Linked DNA regions of Oryzias latipes. The protein of the gene in region 1 interacts with the protein of each later gene in a pairwise test. Links are inferred from orthologs where the notes say so. Each region holds a gene or a part of one and is shown in the gene's direction. Other genes may lie near its edges.

Region 1 (3,754 bases):
GAAAAAAAGCGAGTGAAAAGGAAGAAGGCTTTTTACCCAGAATTCATGAGTAAAATCTCCAGAAAAGAGAATAACAGCTGTTGGAGTTTGAGTCTGCAGTCCTGCTATGGTTGTTAGACTTCTAGCCTGCTTCAGCGTGACCGCGTTTAGGGATGTACATACAGGCCGCGGTCTCGCGCGTGAGCTCCCTCAGGAGTGAGTATGTCTGATGCTAATGGCTAGTAGCTTAAGATTCTGGCAGCATATGGAGACTCGTCCACTTACATGAGGGGTGACTAACTGTTGATTTACAGAAAGGAACCTTCACCCCTTGTTTACCTCTACATTTGGGTCCCTGTCCATTGGAAAACATGGGAAAATACATGACACATACACATGCAGATAATCAATTATTCTCAGTCATAAATAGGTTCTGTTACATACAGTACACGACACACTGAAAACATTAAATATTCCATCTGTCAAAAGGAGTTTGATAGCATGAAAGGCAGTGGGAGGAAGTGAACTTTTTTCACTTGTTTTGTCCAACAGCTGAGCAAACACATCAGAGCTGAAGGCTTCTTGTGTTGGACAGATGCTGCTGTTACCATAGATGGTGATGAATCTTCTGACACAAACATTTCAACACGTACATCATACAACTACATGTGTCTGAATTCTTTCACCATTTTCTCAGCATGTCTAAGTCTGCAATTCCAAAATCCAGTGTCTCAGAAGTTTCCCAGAAGTCCCTGTAAAAAATCAGTGTGCATCAATGCTCACCAGAATGGCGACTATAGACCACAATGCACTGCGTTTGGACAGTTTATCATTTAGGAGAATTGTATAAATGTATCTCTTATAGACTATTTATGTTTTCATCATCAGAACGCAGTGGATTCATTAAACTTCTTCATAAGATGTTCCTATATGAACAGCCCCCCCACGCTCAGGCTCCACCCTGTCGCCCAGCCGGTCTTATTCTGGAGCCCCACATTCAGCTGTATACCCCCCCCCCCCCCCATCCCTGACTGTGTGGAGCTTCTGCAACATTGTGTAGCTAATAATAAACACTAGCAAGAACCACCTCAACTGGGGGGTGGGTCTAATAATAGTCTGTTTGTGAGATCTTAGGGAGGGGGGGTGAGATTTTTTACATTTCAGATTTCTTTAAAGCTGCCCCCACCCCCCAGCTCTGGTTTCGACCAATCCAGATTGGAACATTTCTGACTTTGACCCACTTGGAGTCCTGAAGGGTCAAAATGTGACTCCACCGCTCCTGGGGTGTCCGGTTTTCCGTGGTGTGGGTGGGGCCTCAGCCATCTCCTATTTAGGGGTCAGAATGACCCACCCTCCTCCACCTGCTCCTGTCCATCTGCCACTGGGTGACAGCCCTCTTTCTGCTGCCAGCCTTCTCCTTCTAACCTGCCTGTTGCTCCTTGAGGCTGTTTGGTTCCTACATCTGGTCGTCCCAACCGCCGCCTCTCACCATGGCCGAGGGCGCTCGCCCCGAGGATTACTGCGACGAGCCGGGAGAAGATGACTTTGGAGAGATCATCAAGAGTCGCTCAGGTACGGATGTGTGAGCTGAGCTCCACTTCATGTTCTTTCCTGAGCAGATTCCTTTGAGGTTTCAGGCCTTCTGGGTGGTCAGATGTTTTCATGGCAGAAGATTAATGTCTGAATCTAATAATAAATATGTAAGCAGATGGCCTGTGGGACAAAAAGGTAAAAATGAAGAGAAACTTCCTGATCTTGAAAGTCTTGTAGTCTTTTCTGGTCTTCAGAAGACCCAGGAGTTTAGTTTTCCAGCCTGACGTGATCATCTGACTTTTTTAGACACACATCCTCGTAAAACATTTCTAGAAACATGATTATTGACTGGAGAATTCTGGATTTTGGTTTGTTTCTATCCATCAGAATAGATTATAGAATAGCGTTCTGCATCTGTCAGATGAAATGTTACACTTTGGTGGTGGTTTGCCCTCCTTTCTCATACTGTGGGCTTCACAATCTGAACATCAGAAACTGATTATTTCCATGAGAATTCAACATTTCACATTTCCATCTCCACAAATGTTCAATCCTTATAGAAGCTATGAAAACGATTATTTATTAATATTATAGTAAATAAATATTTTTATTTAAAAAATATGGTCTACTTTACTCTAAATGTTGTTATCTTAGTTAGATCAGGATGCCTCTGAGCGATGAATCCTACATCCAGATGGTACTGAAGTCCCACAGGGCTCCGATTAGGGACCAATTTTGTCCAACAGTAATAATACTGTTACCCGTATCCCTTACCCGTTACCACCAGTACCACTGATACCAGTGAAACCAAAATACAAGAAAAATGATCTGTACGTTTTTCTCTGAGTTTAAATCAATCAGTTCCAAAGGTTTCAAAGTGGACATATTGTAAAGTCCACTGGTTGTAAGGTCCTCATATAAAATGTGTGTGTATATGGTATTAGAGCAGGGGTGGCGAACACGCGGCTCTGGAGCCGCACGCGGCTCTGGGCCAATGAGCTTGCGGCTCTTTGCGTCTCATCATATTTTCAATAAACTGTGCCTCATTTCGTAATTTTTTCCTTCTTAAACCACACTCAAACCATCAGAGGGTATTAAAAAGAAATAACAATAGTAATTTGGCAGTGTGTGTGTTTTGAAAGCGTTCATCATAGACTCCAGGATTGTAGAACATAATAAAACAGCTGATCACGTGACGTCACAGCTGGAGGGCTAAAAGTTCTTCATAGAGTTTACGTGGTTGTCACGTGACTACAGCTTCAGCGGAGGATCTTCATCTTCTGCTGCAGATCAGTGAGGAGGATGAAGGCTTGGTTTATCTGAGGCTCTTCATCCTCGCTGTCACCTCGGGGGGGCTGCGTTCTGGGGCGGGGGGGAGGAGTCAGAAGCAACGGGAGGCGGTCAGGCGGCCAGTGTTTCGGTACCGGCGGAGCGTCCAGACGTTCAAACGCGGACTGCAGCCGTGAGAGCGCCGGGTCACCAACGCGGAACCGTCACGGAGGTTCGGTTCGGGTCCGCGAGGCTCAGCCGCTCCTCTGCGGATGGACCGGAACCTCAGCCAGGGCTGAGGCGACGCGCTCCCAGGTGAGCCGCACGCGCTCACTGACGTCAGGCTTTGGGCTGAAATTCCTGCGTGTCAGGTGAGTTCACCAAACGTGCACGCGGCTGTGGCGTTCTGATGACATGCTGAGAGACAGGAGTGCGTCGGTGAGCGCGTGCAGGCAGAGGATTAGTCCAGTTTGAATGCTGGCGGACATGCGCAGATGGTAGTTACATGGAAGACTGTTTCTGTCAAACTTTGCTTTGCACGCTGTGCGCATGCGCTGTCTGTATACTGAGGGGAAAAGGCTGTTGCTCATCAGCACTACAGCACATCTGAAACCGGACCAGACCCACCTGTTGATGAGGAGGTCTGGCACCAGTTTGGGCCGGGCCCATGTCAGAACTCTGAACATCTGTAGATGCGTCAGAGCGGCTGTTACCTGGACTTCCTCCCTCCTCTACGTGAGGACGGGGTGGGGGTCTCTTCTTGGTACATGAGCGGAGGATGAGATCAGATTCAGCCCTGGGGGGGTCTGTGTTGCTGTAGTTCTGGTCCATTCATGCTCACCTTTCTGCTCTGGCCCCTCCCCCTTTGTGGGAGGGCGGGGCCCTTTGCTCTCTACTACTGGCTGTTGTTGTCTAGAGTTGGGGGCATGTTGGGGAACCCTGGTTGGAGGGTGCTCAGGTCCCCCCCCCCCCC
Region 2 (3,654 bases), on another chromosome or scaffold:
ATAAGGTATAGAAGGTTTAAAAAAACCTGTTTAAATGTAAGGAGAGCCGGTTAGATTTGACAAAATAAAGAGCGGAAAGTCCCCCTAAAAGAAAATAAACTTCTATATCTATATATAAAATGAAGGGAATATCTGTAGGAAAACATGGATGATAAATAGAACATCTTACTCAAGTAAAAAAATATAAAAACGAATATATTTAACATTACATATAAACATACATTATTAAAATAAATATATATATGTATTAAAGTAAATGTTGTACATTTTTGCATATAGTAAATAATTCCAATAAGGATAATTTTAAACTTAACTATTCTACATAACTTTAGCATAAACAAATTGTAACATTGTGTAGCACATTTTTTGGTTTGTTCATGTTCTGCTGACTTATTTAATAACTAATCTGTTCTAATTATTATTATTTTGCACAAATGCTTTTTGTTCTGAAAAGTAACAGAAGACCAGGTCGACCTTGTGTAGCTGAAATATGTCTGCGCCATCTGCGCAGTCTGCGCCGTCTGCGCATGGCGTAAGAGAACACCCAGGCTGAAAGAGAAGCTCTTTGGTGACAGGCTCTGGCTCTGAGAAGGTTTTCTGAGGTGTTAAAACTCTAGTCGGCTGTTGGCACATGAGCCTGTAGTAGTGCTTATCCTTAGTAAGTGGGACTCACTTCAGTTTTGCCTGAATTCTGCCAAATTCCACCAACAGAAAGCTGCACTCAAGCAAGTTTCAGATCAAGCATCGTTGAAATCATTTATCTGACCATCTAGAAATGTATTTTTCACTTATTTGTTTTATCATTTTTTTATTTTTAAATTGATGAGAACTGATTATTGTTACCAAACATTTGTAATTTTTCAGGGTTGCTGTTTCTCTGTGAACAGAGAGCTCTCATCCAAACCTGCATTTTACAACTTTTCAAATAGTGGATTTATGTTAGAGTGAGGCTGGAGGAAAAGTGGAAAAAATGGATCCCCGTTCATGTGATTTGTGAAGTAATGTATCCTCCTGGGACATCATTTGGTGCCTCACATCAAAGAGACAAAAATTGGACCCACTTGTGTTTTTTTTCCCCATTTTCTTTTTCATTTAATTTCAACCATTAAGAGTCTTTTGTGCAGGACCATTACTTAGATCCTATCTTGAATATGTAGCATTAAATTACAGATTGTACCCAAAAAAAAGCAAAGTAGAGACGCTCTTACAGTTAGGTGACATGAAAGTACTTTTTAGTTTAGCATTTTCTAGAAAACCTAAAAGGATGGAGTGAATAATCTTTAACTAATTGTGCTTTTTTGCAGATTTGTCCTATTAGTTTTTGGAAGCATGAATTTCTGCCGTCTCACAAAACAAAAAGGTTTTCCGTAAACGTTTTTAAAATATGCCTTTTGATTTCCGTCTTACAAAGAGGAGCAATTTTTAAATTGCTGGTTCCTCTTATGTATAATTGTTATTTAATGGTCACAACATTCACTGGTAAACTAGAAAGTGGTGCTTACAAAAATAAAAAATAAAAAAGGGAGAACCCTTGAATTCCTTCTTTTTCCAGATATGTTTTTGTACTCACCTTTCTGGTGATCCTTTTCTTTTTTCAGGGCAAAGAAGCAAGAATGTCTTTCCTCCAGAAAGCCATAGACGTTGTGGCGTTGGTAAGTGGCGAGCCGTTAACGGCAAAGCCTGCACGAATAGTTGCTGGGCACGAACCGGAGAAAACCAACGAGCTGCTGCAGGCCATCGGCAGATGCTGCCTCAACAAGGTCAGTGTCACTGAAAGATCACACACAGAAAAAAAAACACGAGAAAAGACATTTTTTATGATTGCTTAATGTTAACTCAGTTACTCCGGAGACCAAACTGTTGTGTGAAAACTCAAAAACCTAAATCTATTTTTCACATTCATTAGATTAACAACACTCTGTAGGAAATGGTTGTTTAGCTTCAGGAAAAACCTGGAAAGCTTTAATTGTACCCTGGAGATGGGAGGAAACGGATGAACTGATGCTCTGGGACTTCTTCCTCTAAACAATATGGAAACAGTTATTGGCAACATAAAAACGTCTCACAACTTACAGATACGTATGTGACAAACGTGATTATCGATCTGGAGGTTTCTCCCTTGTGGAGAAATATTGTAAAGTGAGTGAAAAATAGTAGCGAGTCAGATCAGTTCGACAAAAGCTAAGCATCTCAGGTTTGATTTGTCACAGGAGTGGAATTCTATTTTCGTTTTATCTTTTTGCAGTTATCCAGTGATGAAGCAGTGAAGCAAGTGCTCTCAAGAGGAAAGGTGGACCCAAAAACCAAGATTGGCACATCCCAGGACAAATCCCAGGACAAATCCCGAGAGAAATCCCAGGACAAGAGGCACAGGGAGGAGCGCAGCCATGGTCTAGATAGAGATGTGAGTTCTCAGTACAGATGCCCTCTTTTTTTGTTTTTGTTTAATCAGTTGTTTGTTTTTCTGTGTATTTTTTGTCTATGTTCTTTTTCACTTCAACCATTTCAGGGGAAGAAAAGATTAACCGAGCGCAGCAGCAGTCGAGAAGAGAAAGACACAGTGAAGCCCAAAGATCAGCAGCTCAAGGGCGAGCAGAAGGAGCGCCGGCGTGACCGTGACCACTCTGACAGGCGCCATCGCAGCGACCAAAAGCCCGCAGCAGAAAGAGAAAAGAGTCGAGACCAGGAGCAAGAACGCCACAATGGACGCGCTCGGGACAAGGAGAAGGAGCAGGACAGAACAAGAGATCGGCAAAGAGACAAAGACAGAGATTCTCACAGAGACCGGGACAAAGGAAAGCACAAGGAAAAAGACAGAGAGCGACAAAACGGCAAAGGGGAGCAGAACAAACGTGCAGAAAGTGGGGATAAAAGGGTACAAAACTTCACTTCCCTTAATGTCTGATTATATATTAGTAGCAAAGAATGGTAGATATTATACAGATGCTTTTGTGTTCAGACCAGAGAGCCAGAAGAACCGGAGCAGAAACCCAGTTCTGATGAGATCAACAGTCAAACAGCCAAAACGGGGACACCGGTAAGTTTATCATTTAGTATAATTAGGAAGCTAATCTGCACAATTTTAGGATTTATTAAATATAAATGAATTTTTCTATTGTTGTAACTCGTGTTTTTGCAAGGAACCAAATCCTGATGAAGAGGTAATGAAACCCTAGAAAACAGTTCTGCCTCTAAAAGTCCCACTCCAATCATCTATGGGTCTAATTTCAAAGCTTTCCTAGTGAATTTAGCTTTGTATTTTATAACTGATTTTAGGTTTTCTACCTAAAAGCACGTTGAGATACCTGCGTTGTAATATTATATAAATAACATCTTATTGAATAGAGCTGAATTAATTATGATTACAGGCTTAATCAAAATGCTGGTGTCACTTTCTAGGGTCTGCAGAGCAGCAGCTCATTAGAAATTCACCCCCGAGTTGTGGGCGGGATTATTGGCGTAAACCGCATAAGCCCGCCACCCTTCTATTTACATGCTCTCCCACTACCTTACAGCTTCACCCACTCCTAACAAAAAAATGACCGGTGAAGCAAAAATGGCGAAGAATATTGGCGCTTTCCAGTTCTTAAAGTTTTGAGCCAAATGCCAGTTCAGACGAGGGAAACCAAATCGTTTATGGATCTGTTTGTCCAT
Region 3 (3,654 bases), on another chromosome or scaffold:
CACCAATCTAGTGAGCATCAATGCACACTGGCTTTTCGCAGAGACTTCTGGGAAATTTCTAGGGCACTTGATTTTGGAATTGTAAATTCAGACAGCACTAGAAAATGGCGAACGCACTGTGTAGTGACTACTGAAGGAATTCGGACACAACCTGTGTATTTTTCTCTGTGTCTTACTACCAAGGTTTAGAGTTAGCGAAGTCACAGTAACATTTCTTTTAGCTGTATCAGTCTGGTTTCTTTTATGTGTTACTAACAAGTTTGGGAGTTACATCTATTATTAATACACTTATGTGGTTAGCATTCCCAAGACTATGTAGTTTTTACGTGTTACTAACAAGTTACTTACAAGTTACACAGGACTTTGCGAAATCCCAGTAACGTTTGTTTTAGTGGTATCAGTCTTTTTTTCACGTGTTGCAACCAAAGTTGTGTGTCACAGGTATTGCAAATTTGCTGACGTGTTGTGGATTCAGACTGTTTTACTGTGTTTTTTTTTCATGTTACTACCTAGGTTGGGAGTTAGCTTAGTGACAGTAATGTTTGCTTTAGCAGTATCAGTATTTTTAAACAAGGTTACAGATAGCCTATTGTGACGTGTGGCCTTTCACAAATTCTAGAAATACTGTGAATGCAGTTATTAAAGTTTGACTGACTGACTTATGTTTGCCTCCTTTTTCTTGCTAAATGTGGGCTCATAGTTCGGTGCGCCTTTTATATGACATCATTTCAAAAATAGACCATTTATTGACAGGGCGTCTTATATTCCGGTGAAGAATATATGTTAGATTTTGTGTTTGCATTCAAATCCACTATATTAAATGCATATTGTCCTCTTGCAGCAGCAGTCTGGCAGTTCCAAAGAGGCCACAGAGAACTTGGAGGTGGCCATACTGAAGACATGTCACAGCATGGGAGACCTGAGGCGGGAAGTGAGCAGCGGCCTCTTTTAGAGTCACAATGCCACCCTCCCTGTTCCACAAACGTCTCTCATTTCTGCATCCTCTCCTTTTATTTCTTATGCTATTCAACTGTGTGCCCTCCTCTCAGCTGCATAACGTGGCAGTGGGCCGGGCCTCGGATTTGTTGAAGGTTCATGGAGAGCAGCTGCCTCTAAGGGCTCTCAAAGCTGCGGGTGCTGAGGGAAACCTGGAGGCAGTAGCCGATTATTCGCGCAAGCTCACCGAGCAAAAGGAGCAGCTGGTGGAGGTAAGCGGTTGATGCGCAAAAGATGCTACAGAGAAAAGGAAAAATTGAGATTTATATTAGTTTCAATTGTTAATTTTTTTGTGCAACTGTAGTTAATACTTTACCAGCAAAATAAAAAAAACACACACACAAAATAATAGCTTTTATGATTTCCTGTGTTTTTATCCAGACATGCCGACTGTTATGCCATGTATCGTGTACAGAACCACTGGAGATTACCTGCATTCATGCAGAAGAGACCTTCCATGTTATCGGCCCACAGGTATAACCCACTGATTATTATCTGGAACAGGGGTGCCCAAATCCAGGCCTCAAGGGCCAGACTCCTGTTGGTTTTCCAAAAACCCTGTCTTCTCTGGTGCTGATTACCTGGATCAGGTGGGTTTAGCCAATAAGGAACTTCAATGGCAGGTTGGTTGGAAAAGATGTCGGACACCGGCCCTCAAGGCCTGGATTTGTGCACCCCTGATCTAGACTGACTAGCAATGCTGCCTAATTTTCTGTTTGAGTGGCAAACAAAAACATGATGGACTTGAGTTATTTTTAAAGCCCCTGTAACTCCAACATTTTATTGCATATTAGTAAAGTTTAATGGGTCAAAACTGGGATATAAAATGAGACACGATTCCCTAAAGAGTGCAGATCTATATCCTGTGCAGAGGGTGGGAAAAACTCTTCTGTGTCTGGCTTTGCCCTCTATTCCTGCCATCCATTCAGAATATTTGAGAACATGTTGTCCACCAAATCTCACATCTCACATATAGTTATATTTGCTCTCGGAAACCATCCGTACCAGTAATTATCCAGCAGAGTAGAATGTTCCTGTCCCATGGTGCTTATGTCAGGCCACACACGACTCTGCAGTAATGACTCAGCTCCTAAGTTTAAAGATAAACCAATCAGGAAAGGTGCCATTCAGGGTGCTGCAGGTGATTTCACTCTCCACATGCTCAGGTAATATTAGGGAGGCCAAAAGGATAATTGCCAATCAGATACAACACTCCATAGGATGAACACGGGAGGGCTGTGAGTACAGATATACATAATTTCCACATTTTCTTAATCGTTTTCTCTCCATTTATTGGGTCCATAGATTGGAATCGATTGCAAATATCAATATAACACTACACACCCAAAATAAAGAAAGGTGGGCACCTTTATTTAACACGACATCCCGTGATCGTGGAAAAGATATTTGAGTGTCAAATCAAGTAAAGAAAACATCTAAGGAGATTACGGAAGTTACCAGAATTAGGTTAGGAACGGTTAAACGCAAGATCAAAAATTGGAAGGATAGTGGGAATCTATCGTCTCCAAGAAAGAAAAAGTTCAGTTTAGTGATCGGCAACCCCTTAATGTTTGGTGAAATTAAATTGACGACATGACAGTAGAAAAGTGAAAGTAAGAGCATTACCGCACATACAATGCAAAGGAAACTCAAGGGACTGGGACTGAACAGGTGTTGCCTTAAGATAACCTCTGAGAGTGAGGCTAATTGGAAAAAAAGCTTCAAGCTGCAATGGAGTTTAAATATTGGATACTGGATCAATGGAAGAAGGTCATGTGGTCCAATGAGTCCAGATTTACCCTGTTCTAGAATGATGGACACATCTGGATAAGAAGAGAGGCAGATGAACTGATGCATCCATCATGCCTAGTGCCTACTCTATAGGCCTGTGAGGCAGGGCTATGACCGGAAGTTTAGGTTAGTTCAAAGAATGAGTTCAGCTGACTACCTGAATACAGTAGTCCAAAATAAGTACTCATCTTTACTAAATATTATAGATGTTTTAAAGTTGTAAAATCAAATCAACACTTTATACACCTTTCTCGAACATGAACATTTTCACACTTTTCTGTCTTGTTTAAACTCTCAAAGTTCAAACCTTTTATAGAAAAATTTATTCAGTTCTATGGAATAAAAGCAAACATGTGATCGCGATCGAAAATGTATTTAAAATTGGCAAACAGGACGCAGTCTGTACAGGAGACATGACAGAGGAGATCAATTGACAATGGTCTCCAGCCAATTAGGATGCAGAACATAGTCCGCTGTTAAGCTACCATACAATGCTACCGTAAGCAAACTTTTATCCGTCATAGTAAGCAGGTGATTAGAACCTTCAGCTTCTCCAGAACTTCTCACTAAGACCAGTAGGTGGGCTCACATCACCCCCGATTTAAAAATACCTGCCATTGTAAATGAGAACTGGACTGTTTGGAGGTTGGGGGGTTGGGGGTTGTGTGTGGGTCCGGGGGAAGGGCACAAGCTCTATTTTAACATTCTTTTGCTTGTTCCTATATAGGCCTGCACAATATACCGCAAATTTATCGTTATCGCAATATCCAGCTCTGCAATATGCATATCGCAAAAGACGGCGAATATCGCAATAAATCGCAAACCCAAAATGTGTTAAAACAATCTTCTAGCAGCTTGAAGCATTTA

The links.
Region 2: the proteins of dmd (region 1) and traf3ip1 interact in a two-hybrid assay, tested with the Homo sapiens proteins (2 studies listed by BioGRID and IntAct). The link is inferred for Oryzias latipes from reciprocal best matches to the Homo sapiens genes DMD and TRAF3IP1.
Region 3: the proteins of dmd (region 1) and ctnnal1 interact in binary tests that used the Homo sapiens proteins (3 or more experiments, as listed by UniProt). The two-hybrid records come from large-scale screens. The link is inferred for Oryzias latipes from reciprocal best matches to the Homo sapiens genes DMD and CTNNAL1.

The regions. Positions count from the first base shown.
Region 1 is NC_019860.2:133,529-137,282, forward strand, and holds the start of dmd (dystrophin), read left to right. Parts: upstream 1-1,320; 5' UTR 1,321-1,469; coding exon 1,470-1,551; intron 1,552-3,754. UniProt on the Homo sapiens protein: Anchors the extracellular matrix to the cytoskeleton via F-actin. Ligand for dystroglycan.
Region 2 is NC_019879.2:26,421,992-26,425,645, reverse strand, and holds part of traf3ip1 (TRAF3-interacting protein 1), read left to right. Parts: intron 1-1,598; coding exon 1,599-1,760; intron 1,761-2,245; coding exon 2,246-2,404; intron 2,405-2,509; coding exon 2,510-2,875; intron 2,876-2,959; coding exon 2,960-3,037; intron 3,038-3,140; coding exon 3,141-3,161; intron 3,162-3,654.
Region 3 is NC_019869.2:9,189,222-9,192,875, forward strand, and holds part of ctnnal1 (alpha-catulin), read left to right. Parts: intron 1-841; coding exon 842-931; intron 932-1,049; coding exon 1,050-1,208; intron 1,209-1,377; coding exon 1,378-1,470; intron 1,471-3,654. UniProt on the Homo sapiens protein: May modulate the Rho pathway signaling by providing a scaffold for the Lbc Rho guanine nucleotide exchange factor (ARHGEF1).